3 linked regions of the Ovis aries genome follow. The protein of the gene in region 3 interacts with the protein of the main gene of each other region in a pairwise test. Links are inferred from orthologs where the notes say so. Each region holds a gene or a part of one and is shown on either strand. Other genes may lie near its edges. The genes, in order: PLN, VTI1B and LDLRAD1.

The links.
Region 1: the proteins of LDLRAD1 (region 3) and PLN interact in binary tests that used the Homo sapiens proteins (3 or more experiments, as listed by UniProt). The link is inferred for Ovis aries from reciprocal best matches to the Homo sapiens genes LDLRAD1 and PLN.
Region 2: the proteins of LDLRAD1 (region 3) and VTI1B interact in binary tests that used the Homo sapiens proteins (3 or more experiments, as listed by UniProt). The two-hybrid records come from large-scale screens. The link is inferred for Ovis aries from reciprocal best matches to the Homo sapiens genes LDLRAD1 and VTI1B.

Annotation. Positions count from the first base shown.
Region 1 is NC_056061.1:19,648,463-19,652,411, reverse strand, and holds part of PLN (cardiac phospholamban), read left to right. Parts: intron 1-2,174; 5' UTR 2,175-2,262; coding exon 2,263-2,421; 3' UTR 2,422-3,949. UniProt on the Homo sapiens protein: Reversibly inhibits the activity of ATP2A2/SERCA2 in cardiac sarcoplasmic reticulum by decreasing the apparent affinity of the ATPase for Ca(2+).
Region 2 is NC_056060.1:77,600,917-77,606,154, forward strand, and holds the end of VTI1B (vesicle transport through interaction with t-SNAREs homolog 1B), read right to left. Parts: intron 4,605-5,238; coding exon 4,431-4,604; intron 2,649-4,430; coding exon 2,587-2,648; intron 1,382-2,586; coding exon 1,285-1,381; 3' UTR 1,050-1,284; downstream 1-1,049. Other genes in the region: ARG2 (arginase-2, mitochondrial), read left to right, coding at 617-822. UniProt on the Homo sapiens protein: V-SNARE that mediates vesicle transport pathways through interactions with t-SNAREs on the target membrane. These interactions are proposed to mediate aspects of the specificity of vesicle trafficking and to promote fusion of the lipid bilayers.
Region 3 is NC_056054.1:28,543,341-28,548,678, reverse strand, and holds the start of LDLRAD1 (low-density lipoprotein receptor class A domain-containing protein 1), read left to right. Parts: upstream 1-1,975; 5' UTR 1,976-2,068; coding exon 2,069-2,089; intron 2,090-2,593; coding exon 2,594-2,648; intron 2,649-3,464; exon of another isoform or gene 3,465-5,271; coding exon 5,272-5,338.

The sequences.
Region 1 (3,949 bases), on a different chromosome or scaffold from region 3:
GAATACTGGAGATTAGGTTTATCAAATTCTATGACCTAAATGGTTCACCTGCTAATCAAAGCACTATCTTTGATCATTAATAATTTTCTAAAAACATTAAAGTAAATCATAATAAATAATTCACTGTTTAGCTTCACTGATTTATTCAAATGGTACTCATTTTGCACTTAAGCACTAGAATACAAAGTAAGCCCGGGAATTTTTATACTCGTGAACAGGAAGTCTAGCAGGGGGAACAGGCACGCAAATCAACATTATAGCACAGCCTGCTAGCCACATCTTGATACAGGCAGCACTAGAGCCCTACTAAAACCCAACGGAGGTGATAACCAATTCTGCCTTAATGAGTAATGGAAGGTTTCATTAGGAAGTGATATTTAAACTGGACCTTAAGGATTAACTGAAGTTTGCCTGGCAAAGAATCAAAGGTAGAGGCAGGGGGAGGGGAGACATTCCAGGCAGGGCCAGAAAAACATGTGCAAAAGACAATCATAAAAGGGAATGAAGTATTTATGGAAAGGTGACACGTTTCATGTGACTAAAGTACCGCTCCCCAGTGTTGGGGGAGGGGAGTGACTTCATGATGAACTGGCTTGCTCTTCCTTTTCCATGTTATATCTCACAATAACTTTAAAATTCAGGGCTTGTGCGCCATTTAAGTCCTAAAACTTCATAAAAATTAAGTTCAGACAGGAACTACCAATGCTGATTCTTTACAGTCTTCTAGGTTATACTCTGTTATGTAAAGAGACTAGTCAAGTTTACATAAAAAAGTAATAATCTTCTCCACAATTACCCACCAGTAGAAACCCACTACATCTATAATAAGCAAATATAAGCTGAAACAATTTAAAGAACTTTTTTCTTAAAGAAAAAAGAAAAAGCCTTTATTTCTTTATTTGGATCTCCTCACTACAGGCTAGTACTATGAAAACCGCAGGGTCTTCAGCCAATAGAGCCAAGCTGAAGTGCTGAAACTATACAGAATCCAACCAAACACTGTATATCATGTGGTGTCTTTGCAATAGTAAATGAGTTCTAACCTAATCTCAAGATCAGGCCTAAAGATCTGCTGTCTTTACCAGTCTCTCTTGCAAAATACAGCTAAAGACTGAGATGGGTCTTCATGAGATGTACAGCCACTAGGGAGAAAATGAAACCAGGCAGCTGGGCTAAGGCAGTAATATCTTGATCGGCAGAGATGTCAAGATATGTTAACAGTTATTATCTCTGGCAGTTAATTATGACTATTTTTAAATTTTCATTTCTAATTTTTCTTATTTCAAAATTTACATAGAAGTATCCTGATTGACAACAAATATTGCCAAACTATTACCTCTGGGCACTTAACTTACAACTAATTTTTAATCTACTGAATATACCTAATTTTCTACAATGATGTACTGTTTTAAGTTTTGTTTTATTAATCAGCACAGGTAATTGATCAGGCAGCAAATAATTAATTAATTAGGCAGAACAGCCTGTGGGAGCTCTGAAAGAAAGCAAATGCAAACACTGTTCTTAAGTATAGGCCCTTTGCAAATGGCAACTATGTGTGGTAGACAGTGAGACAATGATGATTTTATTACTATGCCATTTGAGTCTGGCAATCTTTAGTACTTAATATCATCCTGTTAAAATGCTACTTGAAGTAGTATATTTTACAAAGCTATAAAATCATCAAAACAAATGAGAAACATTTCAATCTACAGTTCTGGTAAAACACTTCTCATTGAACTATTTTATTTTGGAGTGAAGTCAACATCTGTAGAATAACTTATTGATGCATCTTCTTTTTATAAAGTTTGCTCTGGAGCTATTTATACACTGATGCTCAGAACAACTGTGCTCACAGAGAAAACAGTCTTAATGAAATAACACGTAAGAACTTTGGCCCAAGGGAATAGCCCAAGACAAGCTGCATCCTAACCAAATTATACTTCCAGTCATTTTGAGAGAAAGAGGACAAGACTGAAGTTACTATACCCCAAATATAAGATATCATGGTACCATCACCAAAAAAGACAGAGCCTGAGCAATACAGACTAGAGGTATTTGATGTCGTAAATACAAATTAGGTTGAGGAAGAGGGATGAACACAAAACAGTGTTTTACCTGTTCAGGGGATAGGTTACACCTACGATCCTAAACCATTTACTACTTTTACATTCCAGGCTACCTAAAAGAAGACGCACTTGGCTGGCAGCTTTTTACCTTTCTCTTGAGCGTTTGAAACTCCAGGCTCCCTGCCTTCCTGGTACCATGGATAAAGTCCAGTACCTCACTCGCTCTGCTATAAGAAGAGCTTCCACCATTGAAATGCCTCAACAAGCACGTCAAAACCTCCAGAACCTATTTATCAATTTCTGTCTCATCTTAATATGTCTCCTGCTGATCTGCATCATAGTGATGCTTCTCTGAAGTTCTGCTGCAACCTCCAGCGCTGCCACTTACCGCCATCAGCTTAAAATCTGTCATCCCATGAAGAAGGGGAAACAATACTATATAAGAGACCACTTCCTAAATAGAAGAATTTCTTTGTGAAAAGGTCGAGATTTGGAACAGAGCAAATTGTTAGCAAACGTATTCATCTGCTGGATGTTGTAAACATAAGAAGGGCTTTATTTTCAAAAATTAACTTTAAAGTGACTATAATGTAAGTGTGCATAATGTAACTGTTAATTTTCTAAACAGACCTTAAGCTTCTATCCCAAATCTTTCCTAAGGATGAACTAGGAGTTTAGTTTTGAAACTGCACTGCTAATAAGCTCACTTCATATATAAAGCATCAGCTTCACTCTTTGGGATAAATATAATTTATATTGTACTGTAAAAGCCTCTTGGATGATTTATTGAGTATTTTTCAGGTCCTCACCAAGTATACCAAAATAATCATTCAAATGAAATATCATTTGAAATAGCCCTTGTTTATCATCATACAGAAGTCTCCATAGTAACTCTATCAGACCCTACACTCTAAAACAGAAATTATACTTTTTCTATAATACCCTAACATTTTAAGTTTATAAGAATTGAGTAAAATCAAGCAAGACCATACCCTTAGACAGATAAAACAACTAATTTTCTCAAAGAATTACAGAATTTTAATATGTGCAGGTAAACCATAAATCTGTTCTCACCAGGACTTTATGATCAATAGACAAGAACTGTTGGTTAATTTAACATCTGACAGTATGATTAGCCATAATTACTAACACACTAACAGAATAGAACCTAATCTTCATTTAAAGCACTATAGCTAATTACCTGAGTCAGAGCACATAACTTGCCACTGGAATCATAAAATTTTAAGATTAGAATGATTTTACAGGTTGTCTTCTATTTTAATCTCACACTCATTGTAGGCAAGCAAAATAAGAAAAAAATATTACTTCAAGCATTAGAAAAAAAAAATTTAACTCTTTCTCCAAAATCAACAAATTCTTAAATTTTACAGTAAAATTTTTATCCCACTACTGTTCATGATAGGGTATAGCTATTTTCCTTAATCTATCAACCAGGTGGTAAACACCTAAGTGGTAGGCCACTCTACTACACTAACCAGCAATACTAATCTACAATGATTTTCTTGCTGAATACATTTCAAGTTTCTCTTCATTTAAAAATATCTTCCAACTACTGATAGAACAATAGAAGTAAAAATTGGTCATTTAAAAATATCTTCAAACAACTCATAAAACAGAAGCAAAAACTGGTTTGGAAAATATATTCACCAAAATGTGGTACATTGACTTAGTTTAAAATTAAGTCTAAAACAGTTTACACCTATATTACATAATTCAACAGTTTTTACTACAGTTAAAGACATACTACCAACATAGTAATTATTAAAGGAGTAGATAAGGAATATGTAATTTACTATAAAATTTGCCAAAATATGGTTAAAAAAAAAATTGGAAAAGTCAATCTTGACTATGGCTCGTAACAC
Region 2 (5,238 bases), on a different chromosome or scaffold from region 3:
AATATGACCAAGTGCAAGATACTGCATCAGTCTGAAGGGAGACCTAAGAACTGTGTCATACATGGAGTCTGTCCTCAGAGTTCAAACTTGCAGGGGTGAGAGTAAGATATGCAGTAACAGCTATACTTTAGGACACATGGTGCCTTAAAAGTTACACAGCGCCAGAGTTCAGAAGTGGGAATAGAGTGCTGGCTAGTGAGACGTGAGAGATTTCATCACACAGCTACAGGCAGGCATCTGGCAGGTCCCTAGAAATACTGGAAATGATACATTTTCCCAACTAGACTGGAAACTCCTACTGCCACCCCTGCTTACCCCTCACCCCGGCCTTGCTCATCCTAACCAGAAAGCCTGTCAAGTCATGCCTGTTATGTTATTAAACAGGGATAATTGACTTAATTACTTTAAAGGTTTCTTTCAATCCTACTCCGGCATTACCAGTGTTTCTAACTTAAATTCATGCCCAAGAGGATGAGGTGTAAGGGCCTTCCTGACAGTGGGTAATTTTCTAGTAGAAAATGACCCTTTCACCTTGGTGTGTTCTACCCAGGTGGGACGACCCTCACTGAAAGAAGCAGCTAGGAAGTTTTCTTTTTGTCCTGCTTTGTGTTTTCAGGGTTGCTCTCGGCCCTGGATCTCGTTGAAGTCAATCCTCGGTTGGCTGTGTCAGAAGAGGAGGCCAAGGCTACAGCCAGCCTGGCAGTGGATGTCATTGCTTCGAGTTTCGGGCAGACGAGGGAGGGAGGGCATGTTGTCTACGACCAACTTCCTACTCCCAGCTCACCAGATGAATCAGAGAGTGAAGAACGTGTAAGAATTTAGGGAATACTGTTTGTTGACACATGTCACAGTGGGCATTCCAGAGCCGTGAGGCGTTTGCGGTGACAGAAACTGAATGATCATCTGGGTCAATACTGCCTTAATGAGAACATTTGTGCATTCTTACAATTGTAAAGTTTCCTTCCCTTTCATTTTGGTGACCGATAATAGTACTGTACATGTATTTGTTTTTTGACGCTCACAGGGTATTAATATGTTGGAGCACTGTGTAAACTTAAAGAAGTCATAAAGGACATTTATTACCTTGGTATATCATACTGGTCTTATTACTGTTCCTTCACATTTCAGTGGTCTTCCGTCTTCCTCCCTCCACCCACAGTCTGGCTACACAGTGCCTTCTTGAACCGCTAGTTCACAGCAGCAATAAGATTTTTTTCCACACCTCTAACGCCATTCATTCACTGAGTGACAGTTCTGGTCCACAAACCCTTCCCTACAGGAGGTTTAATGCCTGCGAAAGAATTTGTAATAAACCAGGCCTCCCAGAATGGCTAGCTCCAGTAAGATGACGATGGAAAGTAGCAGCTTGTTGGTTGTCACTCTACAAAGAGAAGCAAAGTGGGATGTAGTCAGAACTCTGGGTAACCTTATTTCTTTCCATTCTTAATACTGAGGAGTTTGACCTAGGGCCAAGGCAGGATACTGTGAGGCAGACTGAATTTTTGTTTGATCATGTAGCCACTTAGTAACCTGTAAATAATTACTACTATCTACCTCACAAAAATATTGAAAAATGGGGCAATAAGGTACCAAAACATACAAATGTTTTTTTTCTAAAATGTCTTCAAATAGTAATTAGTACTTCACTTTAAAAGTACTTTTTCTATGATGGGCTAATTAGAAAAATATTAAATGTACATGTGAAAAAGTATACCATATTTTAAATCAGCTGAATCAGATTTCAAAGTAGAAGTTCACTACCTAACACATCTACAGCTGTGAGGACACATTAGGAGAAGGGGTGGCGGGAGACTCCAGGGTCCAAGTCCAGCTTGGGTACAAGGAGGTGGTCCTGCTTTAGGATGAGTAACTAGAAGCTGGGAATGCCTTTCAATGTCTTCTCAAACTTCTTGCCTTTCTTTCTCTATAAAGGTAGAAATTTTTCTGACACTCCTATATTCTTTAACACAAAGAATCGAAATCGGACATTTCTTCCTGCTCCACAAGGAACTTACCACTGTTTTGGAAAATCTCATTCTCTTGCTAGTTCCATAACTTGGTTATAGTCTCATTCATACTACCTACACCGACTCACGCCCCAAATTCAGCCTCAGTGCCAATACTTCCCTTCTGCCCATGGCTCTGCTGCTGTCAGCACTTACCTAGACGGTTTTTTCTCAAGTCAGCTCCTTGCTAACAAGACAGAACTCCCAAATAAGGGCTGACTCCCATAAAGGGCAAGCAGAGCCAAAATCAAGTACGAAGCCATAGCAGTGAAAAGTTTTCTAATTAAGTTTTTACAAATTTATTTCCAGGAATGCTCTGTTCCCATGTGCTCTCTTCTTTAAGGAATGTAAACTAGGATAAAAAGTCCTTCCAGTAGACCAGTTTTCCATGGCTCCAAATCATACCAGCATATATACTTCCAAAAATGGATTTTTTTCCTGGGATACTTAACTATGTGATACTCTTTATTTCTTCTGTTTTATCAGTACCTTTGCAAGTCACAGTTTAAAGCTTTGACATTCTCAGCCGAAAGATTAGAATTAAGAGAAATTAATTCTGTGACTAATTTTTAAAACTTACTTTCTGGACATTGAGCGGAGAATCTTCCGACTTTTGCTCAAGTTTTCACTTGTATTTACCAGCTGAGAAGAGAAAATAGCAATTATTTCCCTCTTCTTACAGAAGTACACACTGTAGAACTGAACCTGAGTAAATTGACGGGTGTTAAAGGGTTTATGTTGAAAAACTCCCAGAAATCAAATCAATTTAAATGATGGCCTCTGTAAATAGAAGAAACTGGAAAGGACAAGATACTCTAATACTTATCAATAAGGCCTAGGAATGATTGTATCCCAAGGCTGCTGTGAGGAGACCTCTGGGACTGAGCTAATCCTTCACTGTGGCTACACAAAACAAAGTCTTCAAGTGTACCTTGCCAGTAACCGAAGTAACTCTGAGCAACTTAAGATGTGAATTTCATCAGCCAAACTCCAGGAGAGCCTCCTGAGTTAATGTTTGTTTTTATAGGCTGGTGGATTACCACTTTTGAGATCTGGTTCTTTTTCCTTTTTTCTTTACCCTTTTAAGAGATACTTACATTGAATTATGAAAGGAATTAATCTTTTTTTTAAAAGCCTTTTTTTCCCCCTTTTTGTTGCCTGTTACTAACCTATATAGCTGGAGGATATTTCAACAGATGCCACCTGCCATCTGTTCCTGTTCACCAGTGGCCTTGGTTAAGTTGATCTCTCAGCTCATTCCTCAGCTTTTAAATTCAACTAATCCATCTAGTAAGTTCAAAAGTAAAAACAAATAAACCATGCAATCTGCAAACAAGCTGCTTTCTCTGCAGCTTACTTGAATTCAGTACTTTACTGTGAATTTTCACTGAGGAGGGTGATACCTGACTTGATTTTAAGAGTGGAGAATTATGGCCACTAACGTGGGAAAATAACAGCTCAGTGTGGGGATTTGAGACGACCTTCTCATGTCTAAGTCTTGCCCACAGTATCTGTGTTTCGTTTATCTGCCTCATGCTCTTAACACAGCATTCCATTGGCAGTTTTTAAAATTCCTTTGCAGATGGTACAGAAAGGAAGAAATAAGTTGTTTTTCAGAGCCTCTTAGAGTGATAGTAGATAGAGGCCACAATATAGTCATCATTTGGCCTAAGGATTTTGTTTTCTCACAGTGATCTCCCCTAGTGTGTAGCAGTAGTGGTGTTAGTTGCTCAGTCATATCTGACTCTGTGACCCCATGGACTGTAGCCCGCCACGTCCTCTGTCCATGGGACTTCCTAGGCAAGAATACTGGAGTGGGTTGCTGTTTCCTACTCCAGGGGATCTTCCCGACCCAGGGATCGAACCTCTGTCTCCTGTGTCTCCTACACTGCAGGCGCATTCTTTACCACTGAGCCATCAGGGAAGCCCATGATCTCCCTTACCTTAGGTTAAGAAGAGTCCAGGATTAAACCTCTTTAAATTGTCGGTAGTACTATTTTATGACATGTGGAAAATAGCTTTGGCTCTAAATGACAGGAAAGCTAGAATCTTTTAAAGCAAATGTTGGCTTTCATAAGAATAGCAGGTGTTCTACTAGACGTGTGAGAGACAGAAATTTAGTTCATAATACAGGACCTAATAAAAGGATGGTATGGCTACAATGCTATTTGACAATCTTCAATAAATGCAGAAACTGGGTTTTATGCAATCTCACTCCCCCTGCCCAATGACCTCTAAATCTTACAAGTAAAATTACTTCCAAGGGATATGTTTTAGTCAAGCAAATTACGAACAGAGAAAGCATAAGAACCTAAAAAATCATACCCTGAATTTGGAACTGTGGTAGCTTCTGACAGCATCAGGGTGTAATGGGCCCACCTACTTTCCCCATTTTTGCCCCTCTCCCTATCCACCCAGACTTACTCTATTCTTGGTACGTTCCAATTGGTCACGTTGCTCCCCCAGCTCTTCTATGATTTCTGAGCCAATCTGGTCAGTCTCTGCGGCAATACGATGAGAACGCTCAATACTCTGGGTGGCCCGGTTCAGGCTGTCAGTGCCTTGCAGAAGCAATGCCCTTTGAGACTGTAGCCGATTCTGACAGGAGTATGGAAGGGAATTGTTAGACTTCTTCCATTATAAATGAATTTATAAGAAGGGATATAATGTGTAGTAATTTTCATTACTTGTAAGACAATCAAAGATGCTAATGAATCAGACTACAAGAGAACCTGGGGTTCAATCTAGGATCACAATACCTCCCAGTCCACTGCTTGTTACATGTAAGTGAGGCAAGGAAAGGATTCAATACACCAGAGCATCTTCCTTGTGCTCCTGATGAATCTGAACTGACTCATGTGCTTCCTGGACTAACAACTTCTGAGAGGCAATGGCCCAGATCTGGGATGCAGGAGCTACCTGAAAATGCATACATCCTATCATTTTGATAGGGTAAACCAACTAAACTCTACCGCCTTAGAGATAGTGTAATTCACTGAAAGTTCCCACTGATTGGTACTGAGTGACCACAGAATAAGCTATTCGTGTTTAGCACACACAGAAATCACTTAAAAGTGTGAAAGACTACTCCTCTCTGGAAAAAAGTAGCTACACTCTTGGTAAGCATCCAAAGAATTTCGCCTCAGGCCAAACACAGAAGACAAATACTGAAGTTGTTACACTGGTGATTTACTCTCAGGGGAGGTAGTATCTGGGGCCAAGTAAGCGCCCT
Region 3 (5,338 bases):
TCGCAGCACGCCAGGCCTCCCTGTCCGTCACCATCTCCCGGAGTTCACTCAGACTCACGTCCATCGAGTTGGTGATGCCATCCAGCCATCTCATCCTCTGTTGTCCCCTTCTTCTCCTGCCCCCAATCCCTCCCAGCATCAGAGTCTTTCCCAATGAGTCAACTCTTCGCATGAGGTGGCCAAAGTACTGGAGTTTCAGCTTTAGCATCATTCCTTTCAAAGAAATCCCAGGGCTGATCTCCTTCAGAATGGACTGGTTGGATCTCCTTGCAGTCCAAGGAACTCTCAAGAGTCTTCTCCAACATCACAGTTTAAAAGCATCAATTCTTCGGTGCTCAGCCTTCTTCACAGTCCAACTCTCACATCCATACATGACCACAGGAAAAACCATAGCCTTGACTAGACAGAACTTAGTCAGCAAAGTGATGTCTCTGCTTTTGAATAGGGAAAGGCAAATCTGAGCAGGTGGGGAGAGTTGGAGAAGGCTTCATGGAATAAGATTCTTGCCTGGTTCTGGACAAGAAAGATGGATTTAGAAAGGTGGATGGAGCCAGCAGAAATCACTCTAAGCAAGTGACAAGCTACATACTGGGAGAGATGTGTTTGATCCATGCCATAAAGAATTCAAAGTCAACATAAACCCTAAGTCAATAAGAAAAAGATAAGTCACCTATAGAAAAATGGACAACAGATAGGAAAAAGCCTTTCACGAGGGAAGAAATCCACACAAGCAATATATATTTAAGAGGGCAACATTACAGCATGGGCTGGGGCAGGGCTTTTCAAACTGAATATGCATTTGAGCCTCCTAAAGCTCTTGTTAAAATGCAGGTTCTGGCTTTGTGGGCCTGGATGGGATTCCGTCTCTCACACATGATGAGGTCCTGCTGGTCCGAGGACCACACTTTTGAGAAGTGAGGAGATAGGTAGAGGTAATGTGTGAACTTCTCAGCCACCCACATCTATAACGCAGCTATGCCTCCTTTCAACTGTGAACCTTGGGCAAGTAACAATGTTTCTGTGCCTCAATTTCCTCATCTGTGAAATGGAGATGATAATAGTCTCCATCATTTGTGGTCAGGAGGACTAAGTGGGTTAACATATGTAACACCTGTAGTGCAGCATGTGACAAGACAAGCGTTCAGTACATGTTAGCAGTTGGTGGTGGCAATAGGAGTTACTAGAGAAACGCAAACTAAACCACAGTAAGATAGCATTTCACACCCACCAGAGGCGGATGGAGGTCAGAAAGTCTGACACTTTCAAGACTGAGGACACAGACACTCTTGTCACTGCTAATGGGGGTGCAAACTGGTACAGCCTCCTGGAAGAGTGGTTGGGTAGTATCTGGTGAAGTTGGGGGCCCCTGCAGTGTGATTCCAGATATATGTGTGTGTGTATTTCTAGAGAGTGTGTTGGGTGTTGAGTGGGGAGGACAAAGAGATCCATCTACGGGGGCACCGCCTTTCTTCAGGATGAGGGGAAAAGAAGTTTCAAGAGACAGATGAGAAAGCTGAAACTCAGGTTAAGTGACCTATCGTTTTAGTGGAAAACACATATTCTTTCCACATAGATTATGTGTTTCATTGAACAAATATCAATGAAAGCACGATCCCTGCTTTTTAGCCACTAGAACCTTAATTCTGGGTATTTCCGCCTGGATCTTCATGCAGCTGGGGGGGACCTGAGATCCTCCATCTCATCATCGATGTGGAGAAAAATCACACACTGAAAAATTTCTGGGTTCAGCTTCCCTCTCAACCCTGCACCATGTGACTCAAGGGCAGTTTCTCGCTCTCTGAACCTCAGACTCTTCTCTCACATAGAGAATTCTGGCGTTGGAGCGTGGCTGTCAGCCTGCAGAGAGGGAAGAGGCCAGGCCGGAGCAGGGCCCTCCTGCCCTCTCCTCTTCTCAGGAGGCAGCCTGGGAGGAGCCTGCCCACAGGGAGGGTGCGGCCAGGAAAGGCCTCCTGTCATTCCTTTTCCTAGCTGCCCTTGGTGACAGGCCGGGAACCTGGCAAGTTTTCTGCACTGCCAGGGCCGGAGACTGGAGCTGGGAGCCGGAGACATGAACAAGATCTCCCCCCAGGTAAGAGCTGCCCCGAGAAGGCTCCTGACCTGGGGGGCAGGGCGCGGGGCAAACCCCGGGATAAGGGTGGGCAGTAAAGAAGGGAGACACAGGTCCCCCACCGCCCCGGAGGCTCTCTACCACGTTGTAGGGAGATGCAACAGGTGAACCAGGTACATGGTTCAGGCAGTGAGAGCTGGGAGGGGACAGGAGGCCAGGGGAGGGAATGATCAACATTAAGGGGGGGCGCCTGGGGAGCTTCTCCAAGGGGGTACCCCCTGAGCTGGTTTGAAGGATGAATGTTTGCCAAATAGGCAGTGGAGGAAAAGGCTTTCCAGGCAAAGGGCACAGTACAGGCAAAAGTGTGGGAACATAAAGCAGACATGAGTGTGGGGCAGCCGAGTGGGAGGGCCAGTGTTTCCACCCAAGGCTCTTGTGAGGCTTCTGAAAAACTTTTCAGTCTAGCTGCCTGAGGCTGGACCTCCCCTCACCTCAGCCCACCCCACATTCTCTTCTCTTGGGCAGGGGGATGCCAATGGCAATGCTGCTGCTGGAAGCAAAGCCCTCCCTGGAGGGGAAGGTAAAGGCCGGGGGACCTGGGGCCAGCCCCTCCCCCACATGGGACTTCCTTGATGCTGGGCGGTTGCTATGGAGACACAAAAGCAGCTCCCTAAGGCTCTGTCTCTCAGACCTCTGCCCCATTGTTGATGTCATCCATTCCCAGTGTCCCAGCCATCTGTACTGATGGCCATTTGCTAAATGCATAAGCTCATGTGCTGCCCACCCCCACAGACATACACTGCCCCCCAAAACCCATAGAGGAAAGAGCTCTAGAGGCCAGTCCCTGACTCAGGGTGACCCAGGTGGGTCTCTACCTCTGAGGGATAAGGTGGGAGGGATCTCACATTTACTGAGCACCTGCTCTCAGCCACAGGCTCACCAAGTGACCAGGACAGTGTGCTTTACTTCTGTGGAATAAGAAGAAAAAAATACTTTTATTGAGCACCTACTATGTGTCCAATCTTGACTCTCACTTGACCACTGAGGGGAGAGACCCAGAGAGGTAGCTACTATTAATAACTATCAAGGATCAAGGCCCTACTGTGTGCCCAGCACCATGGGGCCTCTTCTACACCCAATGGTCAGCTCCGAGGGGGTCTCTTGTTCGGTGCAATAGCAGATGAGGCAGCTGAGGTGACGTGAGGTCGGGTGGTTCAGCCAAACTGGGATCCCGCACGGATGGGAGGCGTGAGGCAGGGTTCAAATTCAAATTAGGGTCCCTCGGCTTGCAGAGCCCCAGTATCTTTTTGCTACACAGTGGCATTCATTTATTTCAACCCTGCTTTATGAAGGACCTGGCATGGAATAATGGCCTCCTTTTCCCATCTGTCCCCAGGGGGATCAGCACTTAAGGGCTTTCAGGCTTTGAAGTGCAACCTTCACCTGGCCATGGACCCTGAGACGCTCCTGTGACCCCTCCTGCCCCACCTGTGCTGCGCAAATATTTGAGAAGCAGCTGCTTGGCTGACCGACCAGGACGCTTCTCCTTGCCAGCCTTCTCGCTGTCTCCCTGGTTACCTGAGTTTACAAGGGAGCCACTGACCAAGGCTGCAAGGAATGTGGGCTTTAGATTTATGCTGCGTCTCCTAATATTTCTCCCTTCCCAAGGTACCCCCACCCTGGGCTTCAGCCACACTTTCTGTCCCCCACATGCCATCAGGACCTCTACCCTCCTGGGCCCTCTACTTGGACTGCGCTCTCCTTGCACCTTCCCCTCACCCACCCGTGGAAATCCCATCCTCCTTCAAACACCCAGGACGCCCCATTCACCACCTTGGTCACCTGGCTGTGCGAGCTGCTGGGGTACAGGTACTGGTCTGCCTGATGGACCAGCACAGAGCAGGCTGCTCTGAAAATGTGAGTGGACTGTATGGAAGAGACCTGAACTGACTCGAACTGGGTTCTTCCCAAGGCACCTATCGTGTGCCTGCTGCTGGGCTGACCTCTGGGGACACATGCCCCTGCCCTTCCCTCAGAAAATAGTCCCCGGGGGACAGAGAAGCGCTCACGCTCTTGTTTTTGTGTCCAGACCTTGTCTTCTAAGTGAGACTGCAAGCTTTTGGAGGGCAAGGGTCAGAGATGTGCTTGCTTTTATGTCCTCTACAGAGCAGGGCACCTGGTGTTAGTCACTCAGTCATGTTCAGCTCTTTGCAACCCCATGGACTGTAACCTGCCAGGATCCTCCAGGCAGGAGTACTGGAGTGGGTTGCCATTTCCTTCTCCAGGGGATCTTCCCGACCCAGGGATTGAACCTGGGTCTCCCATGTTGCAGGCCATCTGAGCCACCAGGGAACTTAGAAGGTCCCCAATAAGATTTTCTTTCATTATTTCAAAAGCCAGAAAAAATTCAGGAGCAAAGTCAGTTAAAGGTGTCACTATCATTTCCAGATTGGCACATAGTAGACGCTCAATAAAGACAAATAGTAGCTAGAACCTTTATAGCACTTACTATGTACCAAGCCCTGTTCTGATCCAGTACCTAGCTCAATCCTCTCAACAATTCTAATGTAGGCATTGGAGCCCCATTTCCCACATGAGGAAAACAGGCACAGAGAAGTAAAGGGGCTTCTCAGTGTGGCCCAGCTGAAAAGTGGTGGAGCTGGGATTCCAACCAGCATCCTGGCAGGTTCCAGAAGGAACAATCACTGACACCATGGAAAGAGTGCCAATTTTGGCAGCAAACAGATGTGGGCTGACATAAGAGCTCCACACAAGGGGACCTGGACTTTTCCTTCTCTGAGCTTCAGTTTCCTCATCTGTAAAATAAACGTTGTCTTGAGTAATGAATTAATGGCCATGAAGGGCCTGCTTTGGCTTCTGCCCTATGGCAGGAACTCAGTAAGCAGGTGTCCGTGTCTCCTTCCTCATCTCCTGGGACTCATGGAAGGACACGGGGCTTAGGGGGTGGAGCCGAGACCTGGGGCCCTCGTCCCGACTGCCACTCACCAGCTACTGGATGTGGGCCAGGCCCAGGCGTTTGGTGGAGTGGGTCCACAGGCAGAGCTGAGAGCCTCTCAGTGGGCTTGGGAGCGCCCTCCTCCAGGGAAGCCTGTCCTACCCCAGGACCCCAGTGAAGAGGGACCACTTGTAGGGCTCAGGGCAGGGGACTGGCTGCTCCATCACGGGTTTCCCACCCCACACAGCGAACTGCAGCCCTTGCTGCTGCTCACGCCGAGGGGCCTGCCTCTCAGCCTTCCTGATGCTCCTGCT